Oryzias latipes: one gene and its partners. The protein of the gene in region 4 binds, or shares a complex with, the protein of the main gene of each other region. Links are inferred from orthologs where the notes say so. Each region holds a gene or a part of one and is shown on either strand. Other genes may lie near its edges.

What was found.
Region 1: med1 (region 4) and med12 share a complex: the UniProt entries of both Homo sapiens proteins name them as parts of the mediator complex. The link is inferred for Oryzias latipes from reciprocal best matches to the Homo sapiens genes MED1 and MED12.
Region 2: med1 (region 4) and med18 share a complex: the UniProt entries of both Homo sapiens proteins name them as parts of the mediator complex. The link is inferred for Oryzias latipes from reciprocal best matches to the Homo sapiens genes MED1 and MED18.
Region 3: the proteins of med1 (region 4) and rarb are in contact, whole or in part, in a crystal structure (PDB 1XDK), measured with the Mus musculus proteins. The link is inferred for Oryzias latipes from reciprocal best matches to the Homo sapiens genes MED1 and RARB. Residues at the interface, in NP_001073587.1 of Mus musculus: His642, Pro643, Met644, Leu645, Met646, Leu648, Leu649, Lys650, Asp651; in NP_001276689.1 of Mus musculus: Ile264, Val267, Lys271, Phe276, Ile281, Gln284, Ile285, Leu288, Lys289, Pro435, Leu436, Glu439, Met440.
Region 5: med1 (region 4) and med13l share a complex: the UniProt entries of both Homo sapiens proteins name them as parts of the mediator complex. The link is inferred for Oryzias latipes from reciprocal best matches to the Homo sapiens genes MED1 and MED13L.
Region 6: med1 (region 4) and med7 share a complex: the UniProt entries of both Homo sapiens proteins name them as parts of the mediator complex. The link is inferred for Oryzias latipes from reciprocal best matches to the Homo sapiens genes MED1 and MED7.
Region 7: med1 (region 4) and med20 share a complex: the UniProt entries of both Homo sapiens proteins name them as parts of the mediator complex. The link is inferred for Oryzias latipes from reciprocal best matches to the Homo sapiens genes MED1 and MED20.

The regions. Positions count from the first base shown.
Region 1 is NC_019868.2:8,252,762-8,256,261, reverse strand, and holds part of med12 (mediator of RNA polymerase II transcription subunit 12), read right to left. Parts: intron 2,182-3,500; coding exon 2,055-2,181; intron 1,910-2,054; coding exon 1,689-1,909; intron 1,596-1,688; coding exon 1,536-1,595; intron 1,429-1,535; coding exon 1,255-1,428; intron 1,162-1,254; coding exon 1,017-1,161; intron 1-1,016. UniProt on the Homo sapiens protein: Component of the Mediator complex, a coactivator involved in the regulated transcription of nearly all RNA polymerase II-dependent genes.
Region 2 is NC_019874.2:22,764,196-22,768,423, reverse strand, and holds med18 (mediator of RNA polymerase II transcription subunit 18), read left to right. Parts: upstream 1-1,429; 5' UTR 1,430-1,786; intron 1,787-2,263; 5' UTR 2,264-2,270; coding exon 2,271-2,343; intron 2,344-3,062; coding exon 3,063-3,619; 3' UTR 3,620-3,728; downstream 3,729-4,228. UniProt on the Homo sapiens protein: Component of the Mediator complex, a coactivator involved in the regulated transcription of nearly all RNA polymerase II-dependent genes.
Region 3 is NC_019869.2:19,009,627-19,013,126, reverse strand, and holds part of rarb (retinoic acid receptor beta), read right to left. Parts: intron 313-3,500; coding exon 108-312; intron 1-107. UniProt on the Homo sapiens protein: Receptor for retinoic acid. Retinoic acid receptors bind as heterodimers to their target response elements in response to their ligands, all-trans or 9-cis retinoic acid, and regulate gene expression in various biological processes.
Region 4 is NC_019877.2:9,668,136-9,672,426, forward strand, and holds the start of med1 (mediator of RNA polymerase II transcription subunit 1), read right to left. Parts: upstream 2,801-4,291; 5' UTR 2,787-2,800; coding exon 2,666-2,786; intron 1,365-2,665; exon of another isoform or gene 1,150-1,364; intron 1-1,149. UniProt on the Homo sapiens protein: Component of the Mediator complex, a coactivator involved in the regulated transcription of nearly all RNA polymerase II-dependent genes.
Region 5 is NC_019870.2:12,503,118-12,506,617, reverse strand, and holds part of med13l (mediator of RNA polymerase II transcription subunit 13-like), read right to left. Parts: coding exon 3,391-3,500; intron 2,579-3,390; coding exon 2,372-2,578; intron 1,784-2,371; coding exon 1,622-1,783; intron 1,192-1,621; coding exon 1,035-1,191; intron 931-1,034; coding exon 835-930; intron 740-834; coding exon 83-739; intron 1-82. UniProt on the Homo sapiens protein: Component of the Mediator complex, a coactivator involved in the regulated transcription of nearly all RNA polymerase II-dependent genes.
Region 6 is NC_019868.2:21,185,906-21,190,107, forward strand, and holds the start of med7 (mediator of RNA polymerase II transcription subunit 7), read right to left. Parts: upstream 2,801-4,202; 5' UTR 2,685-2,800; intron 518-2,684; 5' UTR 509-517; coding exon 1-508. Other genes in the region: itk (tyrosine-protein kinase ITK/TSK), read left to right, coding at 4,188-4,202. UniProt on the Homo sapiens protein: Component of the Mediator complex, a coactivator involved in the regulated transcription of nearly all RNA polymerase II-dependent genes.
Region 7 is NC_019863.2:2,278,419-2,281,660, forward strand, and holds med20 (mediator of RNA polymerase II transcription subunit 20), read left to right. Parts: upstream 1-1,152; 5' UTR 1,153-1,262; coding exon 1,263-1,276; intron 1,277-1,448; coding exon 1,449-1,594; intron 1,595-2,141; coding exon 2,142-2,395; intron 2,396-2,465; coding exon 2,466-2,687; 3' UTR 2,688-2,742; downstream 2,743-3,242. Other genes in the region: bysl (bystin), read right to left, coding at 1-63, 692-956. UniProt on the Homo sapiens protein: Component of the Mediator complex, a coactivator involved in the regulated transcription of nearly all RNA polymerase II-dependent genes.

The DNA of each region.
Region 1 (3,500 bases), on a different chromosome or scaffold from region 4:
TATTGTGGAAACCATGGAGACAACCGTGTGTAATGCTCTGTTGCAAAAAGTTTGAATAAATTATAAGTTCTAAAAAAAAAAAAAAAAAAGATGAAAGCAATTTACAGATAGAGATGAATCCACCCTCTGGGTTGATAAGGAAGAGAGAGTTTGTTCTTTAGAGTGTGGTACATGTGGTATATTCCAGGTATGGGGTCTTCAGGGTTAGTAGAACAAAAAACCAGAAGTTAAATTTGAATAAAAATATGGAAATTTGGAGGGAAAAAAACGTGAAATAATTAAACTAATAACATCATACGGTTCCCAATCGAAAAAAAATAATAATTTGTATAGTTACTTTGTAAAAGCAGCTTTTTTAATCTCTCTCCAGCTTCGTTTTCAGTCCTCAATTGACAGTTTCAACTCAGAATTTTACTTTTTTGTTTGAGCCGAATTGCATGTGGGGGTGGGGCTTCAGGCCCATTGGCTATCGGGACATGATTGACATGGTGTGACAGAGGTTATAGTATTATCATTTCCGCTCCAGAAAATCAGAGGAGGGATGACTCGGGTGGCGCCAACAACAGATGGAAATGATGTCACCATGACCTTTAACTCAATGTCTGTCATCTCCTGGTGACCAATGGGCTCCAAGCCCCACCCCCCACATAAAATAAGGGACAAATCCAAAAGAGAAAATGGTGAATTGAAACTAACTTGAGGACTGAAAGCAAAGAGTGAGAGAAACGAAAAAACTAAATTTCGAAACACAAAACTGCAGCTGTTACAAAGAAACATGTTTCATTTGGTAAAAGTTTTTGTTTTTTAGGTTTTAAGTTTTTCTTCTAATTTCAGTTTTTCCACAAGTTTAGAATTATTTTTTGAAATGTAAATTTTTTCTTCTTCAAGCTTTTGAGTTGAAATGTTTTGATCTAGAATCAGGTTTTTCACTTGCTGATCCTGATTTGACCCCATATTGACCTTTGTCTATAACCTTCAGATCCGCCACAGTGGGACGCGCTGGGATGCACCGTCACCTGTTTCTGCCGTGCTTTTGCGGTTCAGCACTTTCAAAATGTCTTTAGTGATCTTCTTGATGGTGTGTCGCGCCTCATCTCTCAGTTTGCCCACGCCGTAGAGGACCACTAAACGCTGGTTGCACTCGTGGCTGGCACTTTCCTCCTAGAGACAGAGTCAAAGTAAAACAGGCTGAACTCCATGACCTGAAGAGAGCAGACGTGTGGTGTTTTTCTTTGTCTTTACCTGTGCTCTTACCTGTGGAATGGGGAAGTGAGTGGCGTACTGAATGTGGCGGGGTTGGTCGTACAGCTGAGGAAAGGCAGGGTCCATGCTCTTGTCTTTACAGTTGGCCTTGCTGTCTTGATCTGGAGCGTTTTTTTCTGGAGAAGGGCTTCCCTTGGATTCGCAGTGCATGGGAGGTGAGAACATCTGCAGGATGAGACCAAAAAGTCCCCTCAAGTGAAGACAAACCTCTAAAGGACTGCTCTGTTTCCTTTACTGACGCTGATTTTAAAGGCGGGAGAGGCTTCATTTACCTCATCAAAATTAGCACTGGAGTTGTGCTCGATCTCCATGGACTCAGACAGACCAGTATCCTGTTGGAGAAATAATAAAACCAGCCTTGTTACGCTGTTATACTTCTGGCATTTGGTTCCATTACTCAGCTACAACAGATGCCTCCAACATGCCTCCATCTTGACACTGCTGCCTGCATCCTGCTCCTTGCGCTCTGATTCGTCATCGCTGGGCGAACGCGGGCGGGGCAGGTGGGACTCAGAAGCAAGGTCGCCACGTGAAATCAACGTGCACATGTAGATGTTGTGAGAGAAGACGTCGTGACGGATGAGCTCGCAGAAGAGAAGAACCAGGTTGGAGAATTCTACTCGCTCACTTTCGTTCCCGGGCTCCGCTAATCAGGGAAAAGAGGATTTGAATAATTTAATAGGAGGATTTCTCAGATAAGACAAATCAGAATAAATATGCGGGGGGTAATAAAAGCTGAGACCAGGAGACAAATCCCACATGAAACGCTTCAGGATGACGGAAAAACTCACTGAGTGTGGGAGCCTGAGTATCCAGAAACTGCAGCAAAACATCCTGAAAGACGGGTAATGTGGCAGCCGAGAGGGAGCCAGACGACACGGAGCCCTTCTCATCCACAACCTCCGACTCTGCACACCTCTGTGAACACACAACACAGCACAAAGGGTCAGAGTAAAACTCCTGGCTGAGTCTGCAGTGTTTGGTTTATAAATAAAGGCGGTGGCACTGAGGTAAAAATGGAAGACAAAGATTTCAAAACCACAAAGAAATAAAGGGATCAAATATGTCAAATTTATTTACAACACAATTCCAGCTACCAGAGATGCTTCCAGAGGCTCAACTAGAACGACCAGAACACCAAATTAATTTTCAACCTTATTCAAGAACCATCTGTGTTTGGTAACGAAAAACAGGATGCACATACTTTGGGATTTAAATTCATTAAATTGGAATTTCCATTAACCAAAATAAAAAGCTATTTAAAAAGCTAAAAGCTAAAAAAAGTTTTTTTTTAGGGCAAAAAAAACAAACAAGAAAAATCTTAAAGCCCACAGACATGCCCCCCTCTGCCCCCTTCTGCCCCTGGCACACTGGTCACGGTCACGGTCACATGACAAATTCTTGAAGAAGAAAAAACAAAACAAATCTTCTAAATGGCTGTTGGCTTTATCTCTACAGCAACCACTTTATGTTTGGGTTCCCTGGGGGAGACGAACAAGTCAAATTTTTAGAAGAATCGGGAGAAGTGATCTTTTGGATTTCCTTGGCAACAGAGATTTTTTTTGATAACCACACCCATATTCTTAATATGATCATATTGTGTGTCATTCCATTTTGTTCAACTTTTCACAATTTCCCAGTAAAAAATGTGCGAGCATCAAGGTAATGCCACTTTTGGGAACTCCCCAGGCTAAAGCCACTGAAAAATCGACCACTTCTAATTCTTCTAGTGTTATCCAAAGATGTACATCTTCTACTACATGGATCTACATTTTTTACCAAGTTGCATCCTAGTGATTCTCGAGGAGTTAGGAGAAGATAGACAGAAACCCCTAGTTTAAATTTGTATAAGGTAATAAAGGGGATTGAATTTTAAAATTCAAGACGGTGTCCTCTTCCCAACATCAAAGGTCAACAAAACTTGTGGTTGTGGTCATAGACTTAACCTGGCGGCAGGTGTAAAATTTCATCAAGATTGCTCGTTCACGATGCCCAAAATTCATTTTCTCCAGGTACCAGGTGCGTGCAAACTGTAGTGAGTTTTTGGAGTGTGTGGGGAAAACTCAAGTGCGCGCTTAGAGAGAATAATCGCAAAAACAATCAGGTTGTTGCAGTCCAGGTCTGCTGCAGGACATAGAAAAGGTTGATTCCTTTTTGAACAGTGCCCCCCTCTGGTGGGGGCAAATCCTGACTCGAATACTTCAGAACATTTGAACAGCCTCCCCAAGTCTGATCTT
Region 2 (4,228 bases), on a different chromosome or scaffold from region 4:
TGTTCGTTATTTTTCTCCAAGCAGAAACTCTTTCTTTTGCTTTCTTTGGGGTGCAAATTCTGAGGTTTTTACTTTCAGAGTTTTAATGAGCCTGAGGTTTTAACAGCTCCATCACACCTTTTCTATGTTCACCCTCTAGCATTTCCTTTGCTTTGCACTTGCTGTGTTTTCAGAAGACGGACAAGTGTGAGTAATAATCCTTTACATTTTCCACAAATCATAAAGTGACTAATCATTTACTAATCATTTTCCACTAATCATTATTTCTTTATTTGCAGGTGGAAGAAGAACCCTCCATTGTTTATTCCTTAATTGCCTTTAGAACCCCTGCAAAGACCAATGGCCGTGAATTAGCCCACAATGAAACCATTTACAGTGAAATAAAATTCACAAAAAGCAGTTTGGATAGGTTGAGCAGGTAATTGTTGCGATATTTTAGCAGTTCTGAAGTTGCCTTAACATGGATTCTGTTTTGTGAGTTGAAGTAAACTTCACCCTACAAGGTCCAAAATGGAAACCCTTAGAAGGGTTTTTTCCATTGTGTCAGAAAATGAATAACTGCTTGCTAATTATCTTTATGAAATATAGCATTGCTTTGTGTCTGTACCTGATACTGTCAGCAAGTGCTTTGAAAACAGAAAACAAGTTCCTTTAAATTATTCTGAACCATTATTTTTTCTGACACAAATTTTGTTAAATATTTTTTCTTTAAAGGCTTCGGAATCCGTCAAAACACAGTTTTTATATCTTTATTATTTTATGTGTAAAATATGCATCTGATGGAATGTTTGTCATTTACTTTAAAAGGTTAAGCACAAATCTTAAAAAAGTTTGTGAACCTCAATCAGCCAAAAACTATAGCAGCATGTCTGAATTTTAAATGTTTTATTCAATGTTTTAAAAAGAAAATATTTAACAAAAACTAATTGTAAAAATATTGTAATTGTTGTGAAGACAGCATCTGAGTTTTAAAAAAAAGGCCCACAGAGCTAGGCTTTTATTTTTTTATGTGCCAGCAATTACTATTACAACATTTTCGGTATGAAATCTACATATATATTTTTATTATTTTTAAATATGTGCAAGGTTTTCAAATACATTTAGTTACTTATCTGCACTGATAATAGTTTCAATTTTTAGAGCACGTTTTGGTTTGTGAGTGTTTTTGTAAATCAAATGACTTGAAGTTGATTTTTAAAAAAATGTTATTTATGGATTGTATTTTTAAAGTAACCCCTGTTTGGGTTACTGTAATTGATCCTTTTTCTACATTGCTAAAATTTAAGTTCAATAAGTGTATTCAACGTGTACTTATTGTTTTATCATTTGCCTAAATACCTGTTTGCGCGGAAAAAGCTAACACAGAAAGTTGCTTCCATGAATGGTTATATTCCGGGGTTTCAGTAGGTGGCAGTAACGAGCTTTAAACTGGATTGAAAGCGCCTTTTAAAAACAAAAGCCAAGGAAGAACTTGGGCGCCTTTGTTTTCTGATTAGCATCAAATTTTGGTTGTTTTTAGAACGGGTTACAATATATATTTCATTAACACTTTTTTTATTTTTTAAGTTAAGTACGAATGCCTTAAATTACTTTGTTGATGACAGTAACAGCTCAAATCGTGAGTTGGTAATTCCATGTAGGCTAACTGTTAACTGGTACTAGCAGCCGTGTGGATATTAGCTAACCGGTGAAACAGGGGGCCCACCGTGGAAACCAACCACAAACAGCAAAAATATCTTAACTTTAGTCAGTTCTAACGCTGCGCCGAACTCTTTATTCTGCTCAGGTAAACCATCTTACTCTGTAGTGAGAAACGTCTACTGCTTTTGCTAGTTAGCATAAGCCTGCTATTGGTAGTTGTATTTGTTCGCTAATTTAGCTAACAACTGTTTTCTGTTTACTCATTCATTCATTGGTAATGTCACTCACATGTATCATCAAACAACTGCAAATGAAATAGAGTAGTCCAACAACACTTTGCAAAAAGTAGCCTATTTAGTTTACTACATGTATAATTGGCTAGTGGGACGATATACTTGAAGTAAACTTTTAAACACAATCTAGTATTGCTAAATTCAAAACATAAAATGTTCCAATTTAGTCTGAAGAAGTTTTCAGTCAGTTAATACTTCTTTCACAATATACACATGGTCTATCGTACACTTGTACTTATTCTCACGTGTCCTCAATGAAATAAACTTCAAGTGTAGTACTTTTTGCTAAGTGAATGACAATGCCATCATTCACTATTACTTTAAATCAGGAAGAAGATGGAAGCTCCTCCTGTCACAGTTATGCCCGTCACCGGCGGTGCCATCAACATGATGGAATATCTGTTACAAGGTGAGACGATTCAGATATAGAAGGTTCAACCAGAGATATAGAGGCTTGATATATTTACAGATAAAACGGTGTATTTTTCCAGAATACATATATTAGAAGCCAGTATGAAGTTCACTGGCTAAATTATTTGAAAAATAATGTTTACATCTTCATTCTGTTGCTAAAACCAACTTCTATCCATTAATATTAGTCTTTAAAAAAAAACTATTAAGTTGAGCTAATTATTTTTCCATCATGAGTGTTGGTGTAGCATTAAAGAGCAAACCACACTGTCAAGAGTGTGGAAAGAGTGCTCAGTTACTTTCTGTCTTGAAAATAATATATATTTCTAAGGTTTTCCTGTCCTGTTTGTGCTGCACTTTACTGGACACATTTGTATTTAGTAAACTGAAGTATTTAAGATTATATAGATGCATAAAGATTTATGGAAAAATAATCCTCAAGTCAGGAAAGCTTTTTTTAAATTTTTTTATTCATGAAACCTGTTATTCATGTTTTCATCACATCTGAAGTGTTTATTGAAACTGTGTTTGTAAAAAAAAGAGATCTAAAACGAACACTAATTTTAACATTGAACATTTTTTAATTTCATGATGGAGGATTATATGTTTAATATTCATTTTTAAAAAGTTGTATCACAGCAGGAAATAATTATAGTGGGAGTAAAGAACTTACTATATGAGTCTTTAAAGGATATTCTATTTTCTCGTTTTTTTCAGGCAGTGTTTTGGATCAGGCTCTGGAAAGCCTCCTGCATCGCCTGCGTGGTCTCTGTGACAACATGGAACCAGAGACTTTCACCGACCACGAGCTGGTTTACCTTTTGAAAGGCCAGCAAGGCAACCCCTTCATTCTGCGTGCCAGACGCTCCCTCTCCCACCCTACTTCTCCATGGCACCTGCGGTATCTAGGCCAGCCAGAAGTGGGAGACAAGAGCCGCCATGCTCTGGTTCGCAACTGTGTCGATGTAGCTGCCTCTCAAAGCCTTCCGGAGTTCCTCAATGAGATGGGCTTTCGCATGGACCATGAGTTTGTGGCCAGTGGTCACATATTTCGCAAAGGAGCAATGAAAGTTGTGGTTAGCAAGGTTTCACGCATCCTAGTACCAGGGAACACGGAAAATACAGAGCGAATGTCGCTGTCGTATTTAGTGGAACTGAGCATTTTGGCTCCGGCCGGACAGGACACCGTGTCAGAAGACATGCGCAGCTTTGCCGAGCAGCTCAAACCTCTGATTCATCTGGAGAAGATTGACCCAAGCAAGCAGAGACATTAAGCATTAATGGAAAAAAATGTTTTTGTTATTGTTTTCCTTTCCATTTAAATGCTTTTTAATGTGATGAAATACAGATTTACTTTGCTTAAACTGTTACAGTTGTGGTTAATCTGACCTGTCAGAGTATTTTTTTAATTTATTTTTTACTTTTTGTGCCTACTATAAAGAAAATATTATAGTAACAAATAGCTGGAAAATACTTAAATATATTTTAAGTTGACAAACATTTTGCAATGCCTCAGATGGCTTATGTTATTGCTTTAAAAATTTTTTTTTAAATCTTCAATTTCATTTTTTTATATAATAAATGTCCACCAGGGGTCTCTCTTTCCACAAGGATGGTCTTAATTGGAGCAAAGTGAACGCTACCTCTCATCATCTACAGGAGCTCTGGTTGCCATGGAAATAATTAGCTGTGCGATCTGCACATCGTTTACCCCACTCTAATTAGCTTTCTCAATTGCTTAATGATACATAGACCTGTGAAAGCCTTTCTTTCTTCCTTTCCACAAAAGCATTGATTTTCCCTCTCTTCCCCTTTCATTTCTACTGTTAACCCATTAGTATCCTTTCTTTTTTTCATGGGAACTTGAGCTGGGACTATTACAA
Region 3 (3,500 bases), on a different chromosome or scaffold from region 4:
AGATTTTTGAAACTCGGATGACCAACATCTGCACGGCTGTATGTAAAGAACCGTTCACACCTTCTAAGTTCTCCCTTTTTCTTTCTGTACCCCACCAAATTTTCTACCTCCCGAGATGAGACAGATGGCGCTGAGGAGGCCTGTCTCTGTGTCGTCCATCTCCATGGGTAGCAGCTGGTTGGCGAAAGTGAAAACCAGGTCGGTCAGTGGGCCGAAGCCGGCGTTGTGCATCTGTGTGCGGTTAAGGGTGAGTCCGTCGGAAAAGGTCATGGTGTCCTGGTCGGGGGTGTACCTCGTACAGATGCGGAGGATCTGCCAGAGACATGGAACGTTGGTTGGGTCGGATTTACAGGAAGTTGACAGTAAATTGCGTTACAGCGTACTCTGTGTTTATGGAGCAAAATCCTGGAAAATTAAGAAATATAAAGCAGATCTAGAGGCCATCAAAGCAAAAGTGAGCGTTTTATGATCCAGCCACTCTGTTCAGCCTCAATTAAACCCGTCTGTGGAATCCTCTCACAGTTCTCATCACACAGCTTCTTTCAGATCTGAAGTCCCATGTGGAGAGGACAGCAGTTCAAACGTCATTGAAACAAATGTCAGACTGCAGAAACAGCGCTGATCCCATGAAAAAAAGGGAAAATTGCCTGTGTATTTTCAATAGCTCTGTTTGGGTCAGAACCATCCAATTTACAGCAGTGACACAAAATCCAGGATTTATACTGTTTTCTCCCGGAAATTAGTGAGTCTAGCACACCTGGAAGAAAGACCAATCCAAATCGTACAGTTCTGACCTGTTCAAATGTGAGCGGAGTCTTTCAGTGGGCACTGACAGGTGGAAAGGTGAGTATGGCAGGTGCATGAGCGCAGCTCTGATCTGATGCAGTGAAGCTGCTATTCAAGCCATGAAAATACTGCAGAAACAAAATATAAAATATGGCGACCTTCCACAACAGAACCAGCTCGGGGGTCTGTCAGGTGTGTGCATGTGGGTGTGTGTGTGTCAGGTAGGCATGTGTGTTCTATGTGTTTGTTCATGTGTGTGGATATTTGTAAAATGTGTATGTCCAAAAGCATGCATGTGTTTTGTGCAGCTAATGAAGCGTCTGATTGTGTGACAGCCTTTGAAGCAGTCTGAGCGTGCTGCTCTGACAGTGAGTGGCAGGCGTGTCTGCAACATGAAACAGAATAAAACATGCTCTCTGGCAGCCACTCCTCCCGGCTGGCCAGGCCTGCGCTCACACACACGCACAAACACACTGTTTGATCTGCCTTTGACGCGCTCTCTCCAAGCTCCAGCCTCCATATCTGTGCCCTTCACCGCAAAAGTGCACAATGAGCAGATGATGATGATGATGATGATGATAGCTAACCGGAGCGCTATCACAGCCGGCCTTCAGCCTCTGAGTTCAGGGCTCTGCTGTGTCACGGCTGATGAGAACATCACTCAGAGCGAACTCTGACAAAGGAGTCTTCCTCCCTGGTTCACAACCACATGGATGAAACTGGTTGGACATTTAGCCACTAACCTTAACCCCACCTGGTTTTAGTTCATTTAAGCCACAAACATACAAAGACTTGAAATTGACACTACAACAAATGGCTTACTGCCAGGCTAGCTAGTAATCACATACTATTTAAGTTAGTATTAACATGTTTTGAATTAAACTTAACAATAACAATTATTTGCCATTAGGCAGCTCCAGATCCTGCCTGCATCTCAACCCATCTACAACCTGACCTGACATGACCCTTTCACCACACACACACTTCAAGGGATGATCTGATCCCATTGCAACCACACAAATATTATCAAAGGACCTCCAGATCCCGCCTACACCAAAACCTATCCACAGCCGTACCCACAGACCACTGACGACACTCTCCTCTAAACCACCCCCCCCCCCCCCAAAAAAAAAAAAAAAAAGCCTAGCCCTGACCTGAACCGTAAGCTTAACCCTAACCAGAAGCTGGGGAAAGTATGGTGCACTGGGATTCTGTCCTCTATCCTCACCTACTTCTCTTCTCTTCTTGATAATTTATTTATCATTCAATTCTCCCTGCCTCTGCTTGGTGCAGTGCGATTCATGCATTGTCCTTCTATCCCAGTCCTGGGAGTGATTCCAGTTGGCTCGTCTGTTCTCCTGTACTTGGCTGTTGACCTTGTCTCAGGCTCGTCTCTCCTCCTGCTCCTACACTTGTTTGTGGACCCTATCTCTGGCTCGTCTCGTGCCCCCAGCCATCCAGCCACACATCTGGATCAAGCCCATCTGCTGGACTATTCAAACATGTAGTTGTAGAGTTTTTTCCAGGAATCCATTTTTTAAGGAGTTTTTCCTTACAGGGAAGGAGGGTCTAAGGGCAGGGATGTCCAGTTTACAGTTTAGTTTAGTCTGTTTATTTTAGCTTAGCCACTACCTATTGAGTTGTATGTCTCCATGTTCTTTATGATTTCATGTTTATTATACAATTACCGTTTTTTACAATTACCGGTGTGAAGCCCACTGAGACAACTATTGTTGTATTGGGCTATATAAATAAGATTGACTTAAATTGAATTGAAAAAATCAACAATGTGACACTCAAAAATGTGTCTATTTATTTTAAAGATTATTTACTTTTAGCAACATGGTCCCATATCGGCTACATTTTAAGTCTGAGAAAATTTTAGTTTTTTACCTTTTTTTATTTCTGGGTAACAACATTAATAAAATTATGGACCCTCCTGTCCTGCACGTATGTATTAATTGGAGAAAGACACAGCCAAATATCCACTGGACGGATAATTCCTGAAGTCACACTTTAGTTTCCGAAGGATGAAATAAAGTCTGAAGTGGAATGGGTTTGCTTTGCTCACCTTAACAAAGTTCCAAAAATTGCAATTAGGCAGAACCAAATACAGTTTGAAGCTCTTTTGGGTCCATTAACGAGGCAACCGAAATAAATAAATAAAATAATTAATTAAACTCTTTAAAAATGTACAAATTTGAGTTTTAAAAACTCAAAATTATTGATTTAAAACGTTTCATCCAATCAGAGATGTCATTAAAAAAATTGCATCAAAAAGATTCTTTAACCCAGAGTGAATATGTTTATTTCTTGGTGTGATTTGGGGATTCTTGTGCTATCTTAGGTGACCCCACCCTTACATTACCATGTAATCCCTAAGATGACAAAGGTGGTTAAAGGTGGAAAAATTTCATGTAATCCATGGACACCAGTGAGGATCACAAATCATTTAAGAAAAAAGGTTCAGAGCACTGTCTAGTGGGTGCCTAGGATAGCACAAGGGTTACACATGAGTCAACAGGATACTGCTCCTTCCTGGAATCTTCCTCTAGTGGTTTTTGGTGGAACTGCACCATTTGTTTGTTTCCTACTATGCTCAAATTCAGGAACCCAAGATGGAGGTTTGAAGACAGAAAAATGTGACTCAAATCTTATTAACATTGATACATTACCAGATTCACCTAACATTTGAAAAACTAAAATTCTGTTTG
Region 4 (4,291 bases):
GTAGTCACGTGTTGGTGCACTGCGCAGAGCTAGGAAGCTGATGAGAGATTGCAATTCATCAAGATTTATACCTCTCCCCCGTATATTTTAAATTATTGGAATCAATTTGTTCCAGATATCAACTGGAAAGCAGTCTGGACGATCCCTCATAAGTTTTTAATAATAAATAAGGTAAAAGAAGTATCCTTTAAAATTCTCCATAAAATTTACCCTGCCAAACATTATATGATAAAATTTAAAAAAGATATTAATACTGATTGTAGTTTCTGTGGAGATCACCCAGAAACAGTAACTCATCTTTTCTGGCACTGTTTGTCCACACAGAGATTTTGGAAGGAGTTCAGTAGATTCATCATTATTCATGTCTTCAAAGATTTCTCCTTGAAATGGGAAAATGTATTACTTTGTTTTTTCAGGACCCCCAAAAAACAAAAGGTATTTTTTATAATTAATTTATTAATTCTTCTGGCAAAATTCTACATACATAAGTGTAAATTTACTAATAAAACACCATACTTCCCACAATTCATTAAAGATGTAACTTTTTACATAAAATCAATATCCTTTTCCTCCAACAAAAAGGCTCTCAGAACTATTGAAATTTGTAACTCTCTGCAAATATTTAATGAATCGACTCCCCTGGCTGTTTAACATCGTTTGTGTTGTATATTGATTGTATGTTGTATACTGCATTGATTGTTCTTCATGTTGTATACTTGCATTTGCTCAATAAAGTTATAAAAAAAAAGAGATTGCAATTCACGGCCACGGTCAGGGTGTAATACTTGGAAGACTGTTAAATAAAAAAAAGTCTGAATAACACAGCTACAGCGCCTCTCTTTGCTTACTTAAAAGATAAGCAAGACATACCACTTGTCAACTGCAACTCTTGATTAGAAGAGGCTAAAGTGTCCTCACCAAGCTGACTGAGCGGGGCGAGCTAATCGGCTAATGAGCTAGCTATCTAACCTACCAAACGTAACTTTACCTAACCCGGTGTTAGACAAAAAGTTAGATGCAGAGGTCACTATGTGGAGAGCTGGGTAAATTTATATTTCAAACAAACGTATATTTGTAAGAAATTAGGTTATCTAGTAAGAAAACGAAAATACCATTATGATCCTCATAGTAGTAGAAAAAATCACGTACCTCTCTCAGGAGCCCCGAATAGGTTGAAACTGACTTTATGTTTTCCCGCCAGTAGGAAGAAAAATAGTCGTCATTTCCGTTGTGCTGAGGAGGTTAATATTGATATGCTGCGGCTAATGCCGTCGCGCTGTGGTTAATGCCGTTGTGCTTCGGGTAATGCCGTTGTGCTTCGGGTAATGCCGTTGTGCTTCGGGGAATGCCGTTGTGCTTCGGGTAATGCCGTTGTGCTTCGGGGAATGCCGTTGTGCTTCGGGTAATGCCGTTATGCTTCGGGGAACGCCGTTGTGCTTCGGGTAATGTCGTTGCGTTGTCTTTTTTGTATGTAGTGTGAGCTCTGTCGGCCTAGTCGTCATTTCCGTTGTGCTGAGGAGGTTAATATTGATATGCTGCGGCTAATGCCGTCGCGCTGTGGTTAATGCCGTTGTGCTTCGGGTAATGCCGTTGTGCTTCGGGTAATGCCGTTGTGCTTCGGGGAATGCCGTTGTGCTTCGGGTAATGCCGTTGTGCTTCGGGGAATGCCGTTGTGCTTCGGGTAATGCCGTTGTGCTTCGGGGAACGCCGTTGTGCTTCGGGTAATGTCGTTGCGTTGTCTTTTTTGTATGTAGTGTGAGCTCTGTCGGCCACCGTACGTTATGCTTCGGGGAACGCCGTTGTGCTTCGGGTAATGTCGTTGCGTTGTCTTTTTTGTATGTAGTGTGAGCTCTGTCGGCCACCGTATAAACCACTTTTTGTAATAGCTTGTAGTATTTTTGTATAATTTTACAATCTCCACATTCTAATAAATGCCTTTATACCTGATAATAGCAACGTCATAAATGTGAAATGCACAAATCTAGTTGATCAAAATAAGCACTTTATTATAACCGTAGATAAATAAAAGCCCTCAGGGTGTGAAGGTTGAAATCATTCTAGGTTTGAAACAATATTAAACTAAAGAATAATTCTATGAACTTTGCAGTGGTTTCTAACAGCAAAACTATTTTGTGTGCTTAATTTAACGGATATGATAAAAAATGTAAACCTACAAACAACAAAACAATCGCAAAACTCTGCTGTCAAATGAAGCTAACACCAAAACAATCAATGTGTTATTATGAGTTGGTAAAACGTAATAACTTGTTACTTATAACCAGTTGGTGAAATTTCCTTCACATTAAAATCAATGTGAATAAAGCAAGATGCTAATATTTATTAAAGATCACAATTCCGTTTTTGCTAATTCGAATAAAGTTATATTAGCACGTATTTGTTTACTTTAGCTTTTAGCTTTCGCTGATTCAACCGTACCAAAAAAAAAACGTCAAGCGCCACAAGAAATTTCGTTCATAAAAGATTGTTTTATGTGACTTAGAAATCAGAAAATTATCCAATTTGTTGATAAGAAAGTGCTCGCTTGGTTTATGTTCAGCTAGTTTAGCTTAGCCTGTAGCATAATGCAGCAGCTTCCTGTCTCTATGAATGACACAACAAGAAACAAAATGAGGCAAAAGAATAAAAATAAATGAATAAATCGCACCTGTTACATCGTCCGCTTTTACCCGATCTATAATAGTTGGATTTCCTCCCTGCTGTACCGATATAGGGAGTTCTCCAGCGGGGCTACCGCTCTGCACAGACACAACAGGCCCGGTCGCCATTGTCCCCTGTCCGCTCCTCCTTCGCGCAAATTTCCGGAACACCTTTTTATTTTATTTTATTTTATTTTATTTTATTTTATTTTATTTTATTTTATTTTATTTTATTTTATTTTATTCACATTCATCCAGTGTAGCAGCGCTGATTCATTTGAAAATAAAGGTAAAGCTTGAAGGTTCTGGCTGTCAAATAGTGCATTGGTACAAACGCCAGGTGGCGCACTACCACAAGAATATGATTTCTGTCTATGAAAGCGAAGCAACTAAGCAGAAATCTCTTAATAAACGTCCCAACGTCAATCAGTGAATAGTCCCTTCTTTTTTGTCATATTTGTATTCCTTTTTTCCATATATATAAATATCCATGTTTACAACATAGTAAAACAACTAACAGGTTGTGGAATTAAGCAGTGGAGTAAAATATAAATACATGAAGAGCAGAGGCAGTCATGCCCTGCACACACAAACACAGCATACATACACCTGAGTCTATTGTATAACTGAGCCTGTGGCAATGAGTGCTCTCAAGGGAGGATTTCCCACCAACCATTAGGACTTGCCCATTAGAGAGAGCAAGGAGTGTGTTCATGAATATATTTGTGCATACACAAAAATGTATTTAGGAACATGTGTACAACACAACACACACACAACAGACAGCTTTAGACAGCATTTGAGATGGAGAGAGACCAGATTGGCATCGCCTGAGACAGAAGACAGAACCGCAGACAGACAGGAGAAAAAGAGGGGAGGTGCTGCTATGTAATTGATGTGCCCACCAGGAGCTTTAGCTGGCTGCCTGGCATGGATGAGGATTTAGATACTGCTGCCAAGACGGCGGTGGGGGAAAGGAAAAGGAGGCACGAGCCTAGGGAGCACGGTAGCAAGCTGAAACCATGCCCATCAATCAGGGGCTAGTTCACCTTGCCATGCCAAGTGGGACCCCCTCTGTGCTGAGGGTGGGCATAGCTTAGGGAGTGAGGCTGGAACAGTAGCTAAACCTTCTCTAATCTGGTAGTGCTTGTGTCAGTGCCACGTCCGGATAGCAGCAGAGTCAGCAAAGGCAGGCCGAAGACACCAAAGAACAATTCTGAACTGTTTCAGATAAGATGGTCAGCCCAGCCCAAAAGCGTTTTATTTCCCCCTACTCAACAAATGACACACTGACTTCAATTTTTAGAGTGACCAGAAATTGTTTGGGTGCATTTCGTAGAACAATCAGATATTTATGGTAACATGCATAACAATTGGGAATAAATGAAGAATTTCAATTTTTTTAAATGATTTACTTTTCAAAAATTACCATTTGTTGTAAAACACATGTTTTTAATGGTAATTTTTTCTTAGAGAACAGCACACATGAAACACAATGTACAAATTCCTGCTCTACTTGTGTTGCGGTTCTAAATGTAAAAAAAAAAGAAAGTAAGAATGCTAAGTATTGATCTAAAAAAAGACAAAGCAAAGCAAGGCAGGAAAAGTTTGGCACTAAAATACCGGATAAATTT
Region 5 (3,500 bases), on a different chromosome or scaffold from region 4:
TGGGTTTTCTTTTACTCATGGATACTTTTCTGTGATTCCAATAACACGTAACGCAAAACCTATTTTTTTTTACATATCCTACCTTTTGAGTGGAACTGCATCTGCAGCCACCTCTAAGTTCATTTCCTCCAGGTTGTCTAAGGGAAGTTCAGGTGGACTGAATTCTGTCTTATCAGTTCTGGGAGTCCTGAAGCCTCTCCACCAGCTGACCCCGTTCTCCCGCTGCCTCAGAAGATCCGTGTACACAGCTGTCTCGCTGGTGATTGCTCCCACTCCCGAACCCCCATCTGGACACACGGTAGCATCCAGAGGCACATCTAAACCCTCTGGATCCTGCATCCGGGGGTGCGGACTCAGCGTGGGTGGAAGGGGAGACATTGGTGAATGAAGAAGGGACTCTGGGGGTTTCCTGCCATTTGACATGGGTTTGGAATATTTGCAGGTTGGCAGAGAGGCCAGGGTCTCCATGGGTGGATCGAGTGCAACAATGCCACCCATTTGAGGCCCTCCAGGTGAGTCCTGTTCCAAGGGGCCGTCCTGCGTGACAGTTAGACGATGGTGAAAAGGGATCACTGAGGGTTTTTTGGATTGTTTGTCGGTTTTTTCTGTCTTGTCACTTGTCTTGTGTTTAGGGAGCGAAGGAGGATACAACGACGGACCAGAGGACTGTGTGGAGCTGCTAATAGTCTGAGTGTTTGTTGCAGAGGTGATGGCCATATTAAACTTTTGCTGCTTTAACCTGCAAAAAAGGGAAAGTAAGATATTCAAAACTTATTGAAAAAACAATATCTTATAACTATTTTACAGAACAGCTTAATTGTGACCTAAAGATACCTGGAACAGCTGCAGGGCGTTCTAGATCCCAGATCATTAAAATTCCATGTTGTTACTCCGTTTGGCGCTTCCTTCCTCTGCGTTAACTCAGTTGCTCTGCAGAACACAAACAAATCCATGAGGGGGGGGGGGGGCTAAATTGCTTTAACTGGCTAATAGTGGCAATTGCTTCAGAAACAAGGCAATAATGTTTCGCATACAGATGCTGAGGCTGGTTGAGATAGCACTCCTTCCAGGCCTGATGGACCACATGACACGTAAGCTTCTTCCCAGAATGTTTCGGGCTGATGCTGTTGATGCCCGTGCTGCTGTCTGGTGTGGGGACACTGGAGACGGAGGTCACAAAGCCACTGTCCGCTAAAAAATGGAAAATATGGCGTGATGGGACAGAAAGATTTGAGGCGTGTGTTTCTATTTTCAGAAAAGACGGTTTCCTCCATAAGGCATATAAATACATTTTTTGGAGGGATTTCTCAAAGAATTTGTAAAAAAGTTTTAAATCAACAAACAGTAAAGTGCAAATGACGTGCTGTGGTTACTGCCCTTCTTTCACAGTTATGTTTATATGAAGCTGGGAATAGCATAAGCATTAAGGTGCTTTTAATTTTGACTGTAAAATTATTGTTTTTTATATAAAAAAATTGTTTATGTAATGAAAAATATGTGCTTAAGTTTGATTCATAGTTCTGTTACATTTGCCTGAACTGAAAAAATATGCTTAAAGCAGAAAATTGTTTTTTTCTTGGACTAATGTTCATGTCTGGGTTTTCTTTTTTCTTTTTTTTACCAGAGCATGGCTGCTCAGGGGATGTTGGTGGAGTCAGCGGCACACTGCAGTTGTTTGGCTCCTTGGTGAGGCCCTGGGCCACAGAAACAGGAGGCTGCTCCACTGGTAGGTCTCCTTGGGTAATCAGCACAAAAGCAGCTGGGTAGGTCATCCTTACTCCCCCTAAGAATAAACAAAAACAGTTGTTTTTATTGTGTTTTGACAAAATGTTGATCTCTGCTGATGCACTTGAATTTTGCAATCCGTTTTATCACACGGCACTTAGATAAGTAAAAAAACAAAAGCTCAACATTTTCTTTGTTACTATCATTGCTCTTTACATGTAGCACCACTGGTATCCAGAGGAGTTTTAATTGTAATCAGGTCAAGTCGGCGCTGTGGGATCAGACTGATTAGGCTGTTAGAGAAACTCCCTGGAGTTCATACCTCAGCTTCCCGACTGCTCCTCTCCTGCCTTCCAGCTATTTCCCCTTTTCCACTCTCAGGTGTATTACAAAGATTGAGAGGATCTTTGCAGTCAAAGCTTCTCTATTCAGTAAAACCACAGCTCAAAATGTCTGAGTCTACACCAGGGTTATAAGTGAGGTGCAGTTCCTTCACTATTTAGTTTAACAGAGAACACCAAATGTGGAATATTGTAAATATTCACTGATGTTTGTAAAAGAAGAATCTCCATTCCTTAATTGTGGATTCAATAGAATAAAGTACCTTCAGTCTATAAAATTGGTTTTATTATTTTGTTGACCATACCTACGATGACCTCCACTGCCACATGACTGCAGCGATCACAAGCCTGGCCAGCCTCTCCTTTCTCCTTCTCACCACTTCCCTCCTTTTGTGGATAAACCATTGGATAAAAGTAGCTCCACTCTTCTATGAGCTTTCGTACTGCCGGGTCACTCATCTTGTAGGCTTGACCAGTCAGAGTGCCACTCAGACTGTATGGACTCAGCACAACTGTAATGAAAAAAGATAGTTTAAAGACTCAAAGTAAAAGTAAAAAGTAATCATCACAAAACAAACTGACAAATTATAACAATTTAAAATTTAAGTATTTCTATGCAGCCATAATCTATTTTTATTTTAAAAAAAAGATTTTTAGTACAAAAATGCGTATGTGAGCATGACCTGATATTGACCTGTTTGAATATATATGTGTTTTAGTCTTTTCATACTCTGAATGTTATCACAGACATAAATATAAACCATCATGCTGCATCAGAATGTGTGCAAACTTAGTAAAAAAAAAGTGCTAATTAATTTGTAAACCCTAAAATGGACAGCTTTTTCCTGCCTGCATCAAATCAGGCGTCTGCAACCTGCGGCTCCGGAGCCACATGTTGTAGTTTTACCCCTCTTTGCTTAAAGAAAAATTAAAAAATAAAAATTTCTAGTAAAAAGTATAGTATAGTAAAAAAAAGTAAACTAATTGAAACTTCATTTAACTCAAACATTTTGACAGATTTTTGTATGCAATTGGACGTCAGTATTAAGGTGCACCAGATTGTAAGGCGGATTTTGTTTTATAGATTTATAGATTAAGGGGCCCACTGTTTAATTATTTTCAAATGTTTGTTTGTTTATTTTTACATAAAATAAGGTTCCAGCTCCTAAAACCCACAAAACTAGGACTTCAGAAAAAATACGTCAACTCTTTACTAAACTTTATAATTATTATGAGAAAAAAAAATAGAAAACATATTTTCTATGAGTCAAACATCAGGTTCAAATGTCAAAGTACTTGAAAAGCAACTGGTTTGTGGTATTACCCTGAACTGGGGTGGTAGAGGTCTGTGCAAGGCGGATGTGGTGATCTGTGATGTGGTATGCAGCTTGGTGCTGGACAATCTCCACGCTCGTGCACACATTGCTCTCCCCG
Region 6 (4,202 bases), on a different chromosome or scaffold from region 4:
AAGCAAGACACCCTTGGATCATCTCCACGACTCTCTCCAGGTGTTTTTGGAATCTCTCCGCCGTCTCCAACCTCTGCCTCTTCTGCACCTCCATCATCACCCTCAGAGTCTCCCTGGCTTGGTGCGGCCTGTACTCGTTGATCAGATGATGCATGTGAACAAACAAAAGCTTTATGTCCTCCATCTTCTCTTCGCGTTTAATATTACCAGGACTTTTGATAAGGATGTCTAAAAGGTCCAGAAAGTTTACGAGAATGGACATGTTCAGCTTCTTGAGCTCCCGTTTGTGGTCAAACTGCATAGGATGCAGCCTCTCGATGCCTTGGCTCTCCAGAGGCCGAATAATAAGGTCGTCGCACTGAAACTGATTGCCAAACATCATGTAGCTGTCTCTGATGGGCGGAGGCGGCTTTGGCACCAGACCTTTGCGAATGTTTTCATCTGTATACTCCTTGATGTACTGCATGGGCGGTGGAGGCAGTGCGCTGACCTGCTGTGGTTCACCCATTTTGCAGACCTAAAAATTATAAAATAAATAGAACTACAAGTTAGAAAGAATCCAAACAACAAATACACAGTCATGCACCTGATAAGATCCCACTGTTGTGGCGAGTTCACGGGTCTCACTTATATGAAGTAAAACAATCTTTAATGACCCCCTCATATGTTCTGGGTGATGGCATCAGCTACCTCTTGCATAAACGCTTTCTCCAGTCAGTAAAGTCACAGTCATGATAGCACTTTGTCAAAACTATGCCTTTTTAATGTGCCAAAATAATAACTTTCAAGAAAAAATATCCTTATTTATTCATTTTCTAAACCCGTTTTTGTCCCTTTCAGGGTCACGGGGCTGCCGGAGCCTATCTCAGCAAAGGCAGGGGACATCATGGACAGTTCGCCAGTCTGTAGCAGAGCCACGTTCACACACCCATGCACACTCACACCTAGGGAGAATTTAGTAACCAATTAACTTATGAAGCTTGTTTTTGGACGGTGGGAGGGAGCTGGAGTCCCTGGAGAAAAACCAGGGGATCACGCAAACGCCACAGAGAAAGGTCCCCCAGTGGTGATTCTGTTTCAGGTCCCCCAGCTGGGACTTGAACTGGGGGCCTTCTTGCTGTGAGGCAAGAGCGACAACCAAGAAGAACATGCATCTGTGGAGCTTAAACATATACATGTTTTTAGGTTAGAGTAGATAAGTATTAAATGCAGATTAACCAACAGACACAGGAACAGATGTACAATGTTGACACTTAGCCTAATATTACTAGTTTTGTATATGCATCCACAAACGTTATAATTATTTTAACACGGTTTACTATAGTTTCTGTTACAGATACTTATTCAATAATACATTGTTTTACAATATATTTTTCAAAAGATTAAAGAAAATGTAGAGGAATTTTTAAGTGAAACATTTTTTTAAAATTGTGAGAAAAGACTTATACAGGTTTCCATAATCAGTTTTACAATACCAAAAATAATTAATCAATAAAGCCATTTCTAAATGCTGTGGAAAATGGCATAAAGATGTGACAGCTTCCATTGCATTATAGTTACCTGTGGGACAATTAAACAGATTTTTGATTGATTCCTAAACTTCTTTACATCCTCATGTTTTTTTAATTGAAACAAATTGTCTGTGCTACTTACCGGTAACTAAAAATCCAAATTATTATAATTCCTTTATCTATAAGAAAACAGTTTTTATTCAATTGAAACATGTTTAAATTTATATTATCTATCACTATCCCCCCTATCAGATTGTACTTGTTAAAGAATATGATTTTTTTCTGTGTGATTTAACACCATTTTTTCAAAATGCTTATTTGTTGTGCACATAACCTTATAATTGTTCTGCTATCAATTTAGCAAATACAACTGAATTAGTAGATTTTATATTCAAAATTAAAAAATAAATAAAAAAAAAACTGCAGAGTTTAAAAAAATGTTTAAAGAAAAGCCATCCTGATGTAAGAAGAGAACAAATGAGGGTCAAAAACAAGTCAAATTGTGGATTTTAGTAAAGAGAAGTGCATACATGCACATTCTATACATTAAAAAAAACACAGCTTTTACAAAATGCATATTTGTTGATGTCTGTTTTCAACACTTTGTATCATTGTTATTGAAGGAAAGAAAACAACATTCAAATCAGAGAAGGATATGTCATATGGTCGGTGCATGTTTTAACTTGAAGATTGCCACGATCAGAGTTTACCGTAGCCAAACGAGTCGTTAACCGCTCCAACCAATAAAAGTATTTTTTCCCACGCGTTTTTTTTAGGATTTTACACGTGCTCACAAGAAGTACAACAACAGATAATGTTCACACATCACATAGCTAAACCTGTTTTCTAAGTAAGAAGGCGGACAAGTCGACAACAGACACACACATGATCATCACGATTCATTTTGAGAACTATGTCAAAGTCAAACCTAACGTAACAAATCTCGAATTATTCCGCCGTAGTGCATTTAGATACCACATAAAAGCCCACGTATATACTAACTAACAGTAAAAGTTATTACAAAAACCTAATTAATAAAACCGCTCCGTTGATGTTTGGCTAACAACAAACGTCGTTTCCTGCATCTGCTGAATAATACAGTCTCTACAGTCAAAGAAACAGGTCTGTAACACGAATAAAAGGGTTACATTTATAACTGATTATTGTACAAACCTGTTTAACGACTCAATTGGTTGAGTTTAGATGAAAATTCTTCTAGCCAGTTAGCTCCTGACTAGCTTCGCTTTATTCATTTCCCGGTTGAGTTTCAGATGCCAGGATTGGACAGTGACCCGGAAACAAACTCGACGTTGATTGGTTGCGTCGACAAGCCTTTAAAGTATTTCATTATTAACCTTATAATTAGTGGGTTTTATTCAAAACTAATCTCTTTCCTGTATTAATTGTTTTAAACTTTTTGTTAGTTTTTGTTTGTTTAATATAGTGAGTTCAGGTTCTGATCCTGGTAGGCCTATAAATCTTAAAATATGTTCTTAAAATAAGCTGCTTAAGAAATCAAACCCAAGCAAAAAAAGTTCAGATCTGTAACCATAAAAAAGGGGGGGGAGGGGGACTCTAATTTTAAAAATGTATCTATCATTTGTTTTTACGCCCTAAATACAGTAGGGCAGGTGAAAGTGTCTAACTTTGAATTTTATGTTTCATTTTCTACTTAGTCAATTAGCAACACCTAATATTCATTCTTTTTCTTTTTTTTACACTTAAATAAAAATGGTCAAACTATTATAAGTAAGCTGACTTCATCTTGACCCTGACACTAAATAAGAATGACATGTAACATTTTATTTTATAAACGTTGTCATAGGCCTAGTGAATATTTAGCAGAGGGCAAAGGTTGTGCTTCGGAGTGTGCAAAACAAAACAAGAACATCGTATTTGAACCAAAATTGAAAAGAAAAATAAGAATCTTTCTAACCCCAAAGAAAACATAGCCTCATGAAAAGTACATCAAAGGTTCCATATTGTATTTGGATACATTTTTCTTAGAAACCAGACTTTTCTCTTTTGCTGTTTTCTGCATTTAGTGATTCATGAAACCTTGACATTCTTAGTGTTTGTAGGATATAACTTATCATGCATTTTACATTTTTAAAAATTGCATTTTTTTCATTTTTAAGTTTTCCTTCAGTAGTACTTTTTTACTACAATTTTGATACAAGCGGAGAGTTTCTTTTAAATGAAGAAAAAAGAAAATTTAAAAATTCCGAAAAAAAACCCCAGCTATGGCTTCTTAGGTATTGATTAACAGTGTTATTTTTGTTTTTAGCTTTTGATTTAATATGAAAATTTAAATTGTTTTCTAAAACATTTTTGTTTAACAACCAAGCAATTCTGACAAAAAGCTTACATTTTTATGCAAAATTTGATCAATAGTACATCAAAGGTTCATGTTAAAAAAAAAACCTTTATTGAGTTTAACACAACATACGTGATGATACGTGTGTGTATTTGTGTGCACATCAGTGTGTGATTGCTTGCACAGAGTGTTGCCACAAGGATGTGGTTTACTGCATGCAACTAACCCACGCCGGAAACTCTTCGGCATCTTCAATGTTTGCATTCTCCCTTTTTTTTCCCCCCTGCAGTCAGAGGCTTTCAGTTACTCCGTCCAATACCACCCAGTGTCTCCAGTGGTGTTATTCTCAACTGCTAACCATGTTTCCTCGGGTG
Region 7 (3,242 bases), on a different chromosome or scaffold from region 4:
CAGAAACTGCTTCTCCCAGTGCGGGCCACTCTTCATCCGAGTCTGCATCCCCAGATTCAGGACCTACAGTTACAGGAGTGTTTAGAACTCACATAATGAAAAGATGCAGATCTAGATGTATGGAATCACCCAACTAACTACAGAAACGAGTAAATGAAAACATTATTACTTCTATTTTTAAGTATTTATTTACTGAAAGTATTTTAATTTGGAGTGTTTACTAAAACCATCATTAGTGAACAGTTAACTTTATTTTTAAGTCATAGCATTAGTGCATCCCTTAGCAAAAAGTAGTCTATTTAAGTAAACTACAAGTATACTGTCTATACTAAAAGTAAAGCAGTAAACTAGAATTTTCTTTTTATATACATTTAAAATTTTCCAATAAAAGTCTGAAAAAGTATTCAGTTACTATATGTCCTACACTACACGTACATGGTCTATACTTGTACACTACTACACACTTATTACTCAAGTATCCTTAAGTAAACTTCAAGTGTACTTGTCTTTGTTAAGGGTAGATGGGTCTGAATTGTGATGAATCTGTGATGCAACTTTACTAAAGTTGGTCATCGTTTTCTTCGGTAAGAAAAACTAGAACAAGAGAGAACCTTTAGAAACCTTAATCAACGGCTTCTGTTTGATCATTTTCTAAACTGAAGCGGATGTCCTGGTTCTGATCCAACATTACCAAGAACAGTGACCGGTGTCGCCTTCTTCTTCTCCGGTACCAGCCCATATTCGGTCTGAAGCTCCTCTTGCTGAATTCGGGCTTGCTGTAGGATTTTCCGCGACAGCCGCTCGTCTACGTAGGTGTCGTCGCTTTCTGGCCGCTGGTCTCTGCTCTTAACCCGGTTGCGGGCTCGGACCGTGTCCGTCTGCAGGATCTGGTCAGCCAGCGCCACGGATCCAGAGCTCTTTTCTCCTCCACCTTTAGATTTCTTCACTTTCGGCATCGCTACAGCTCCAAAAAAATTTACAAGCTAAAGCCTGTCTATGCCTTTTTAGTGTGTAAACACCCAGCTGTTTAGCACGTGCGGACAAACGGCATGCGCGACAGAGGCAGCGGAAATACATTACGTCACATCCGGTTTCATTAAAAATGTTTCGAAACATTATATATGAAAGAACCTATGTTTATTAACTGAGTTAATCAGTTTAACTCAATTCGTCTATGTTCACTTGTATTTTTATTTTATTTTTTCCTTTACCGGAAGTCAATTTGTTTAACCGGAAGTAGTTGCGAAGGAGGCAAAACAAAAATGGGAGTAACTTGGTAAGGAATATTTTGGCTCATTAAAGTGTAATTATTATTTCAACATAGTTTGGTTTCGCTATGTTTATAGGACCTGTCTATTTCAAATGTTTGTTCTTTTGGGGAAAGCGTGCTCCTCCCCTTCATGGATGCGTTGGGTTGTCGCTGCTCAGTCGGGTGTTTTGTCTTTCAGTGTTTGTCAGGTGCCCATAGCGGAGGGCAAGAGTGTGCAGCAGACCGTGGACGTCCTGCAAAAAAAGCTGGAGCAGCTCGGTTCTGTGAAACAAGGCAGCTTCTGCGTGGATTGTGAGACATACCACGCCACGGGAAACGTTGTCGGTAAGCTCGCTACTTTTTCAAGCATCACGCGGGAAACATATTAGTAGTTATTTATTCATGTGGTAATTAGTTGTGGTTGCTTAGACCTTTAAAAAGCAATTAAAAAAAGGTGATTGGCATATGAGCTCCGTTTGTGCCCTTGCATTTAATTGGTAGCATTTTTAACAAGAACATTCAGGGCTTTTGCTAATTCTTCCTTCAGACACATCTGCAGTAAATATGGGACACAATTAAGCATACATAGCCACTTTATCTTATGTGTGTTTGTCAAATTATCTTGAGAATATTTTACAAATTAGATAAGGGTCCTATTAGTTCTACTGGAGTGTGACGACAGATCACCCCTTCAGCTGCACTTTAATGGCTCTGGCCTTTTATGGTAGAAACCATCTCAAAGCCTTACTATAAAACCAAATATTGTTTAAGGTTTTAGACTTTAAAAACCTTTTTTACATCAATAACAGATGTGCCTTTATTTGAATCATGGATGTGGAGTTTATGTATTATTGAGTTGAATGCATCATCCAGTGTTTCCCGTCTGTCACAGGTCAGCCCTCCAAGCTCTTATACGTGATGCATAACTCTGAAACCCCTCTGAGCTGCATGGCCCTATTCGAAGGAGGACCCTACTTAGTAGCTGATGCTAACTTTGACGTCCTCATGTCCAAGTTAAAAAGTCATTTCCAGAACGCCAAGGGACACAAGGTGGAGAGTCGAGGCTCCCGCTACCGATACTGTGACTTTTTGATAAAGGTGGGCACTGTGACGATGAGCTCCAGCGCCAGAGGCATTTCAGTGGAGGTATGGAAATGCAGTTTGTCCCTTTCAGCGGGACGGGTGGACATGATGTGCCCTGTGTGTTTTACTGCAGGTGGAGTACTGCCCCTGTGTGGTTCCTGGGGACTGCTGGAACCTCATGAAGGAGTTCATGCAGTCTTTTCTTGGCACCAGCGTTCCCGAACTTCCATCTGTGTTTGCTGCTAAACCCGAAGGGCTTTTTGCAGCAGCGGACTGTGTTGACACCATGACGCAGTACTTGGAGTTGTTCAACAAACTTCGTAAACTGCAGATCCCAGGGAGTAATGTACGTTAGGTCAGGAAAGCAAACTGGCCTTTTTGTATTTTATTTTCTTTTGGGGGGGGGGGGGGGGGGGGGTTGTATCAAATGCTTGATTATGTTTTTCTGAAACTTTTGAAAACCAACTTCTGGAACATTTATTTTAGGAACTTAGTTGAATGTCTTTGCAATAAAGAAATCAGGTGGAGGTAAGAAACCAGAGCCTTTTTTTAATGTAGCTGATGCATTTTTTAGTTCAGAAAATGTTAGGTGAACTAGAAGGAGCCGCATTTCCAGAAGAAAATTCAGGGTTGAATGCTATATTGTTGAATGAAAATGAACCTTTAAAGGGTAAGAATTGGCACAAAAAAGGAAAGAAATGATCAAAGTTGAACAACAATAAAGTGAAAACAGCACAATAACAAATAGATACGTGTGTGAAAAATGCCAGAGGGATCAAACCAGCGAGCTTCTGCACCAAGGATTCCCCATGGATTTCTATGGAGGCAAAAATCCTGGAATATCTGGAAAAGTTCAAGGATTTGAAGGACTATAAAGCACAAGCCAGTCTCATACTTGATAAATGTCAAT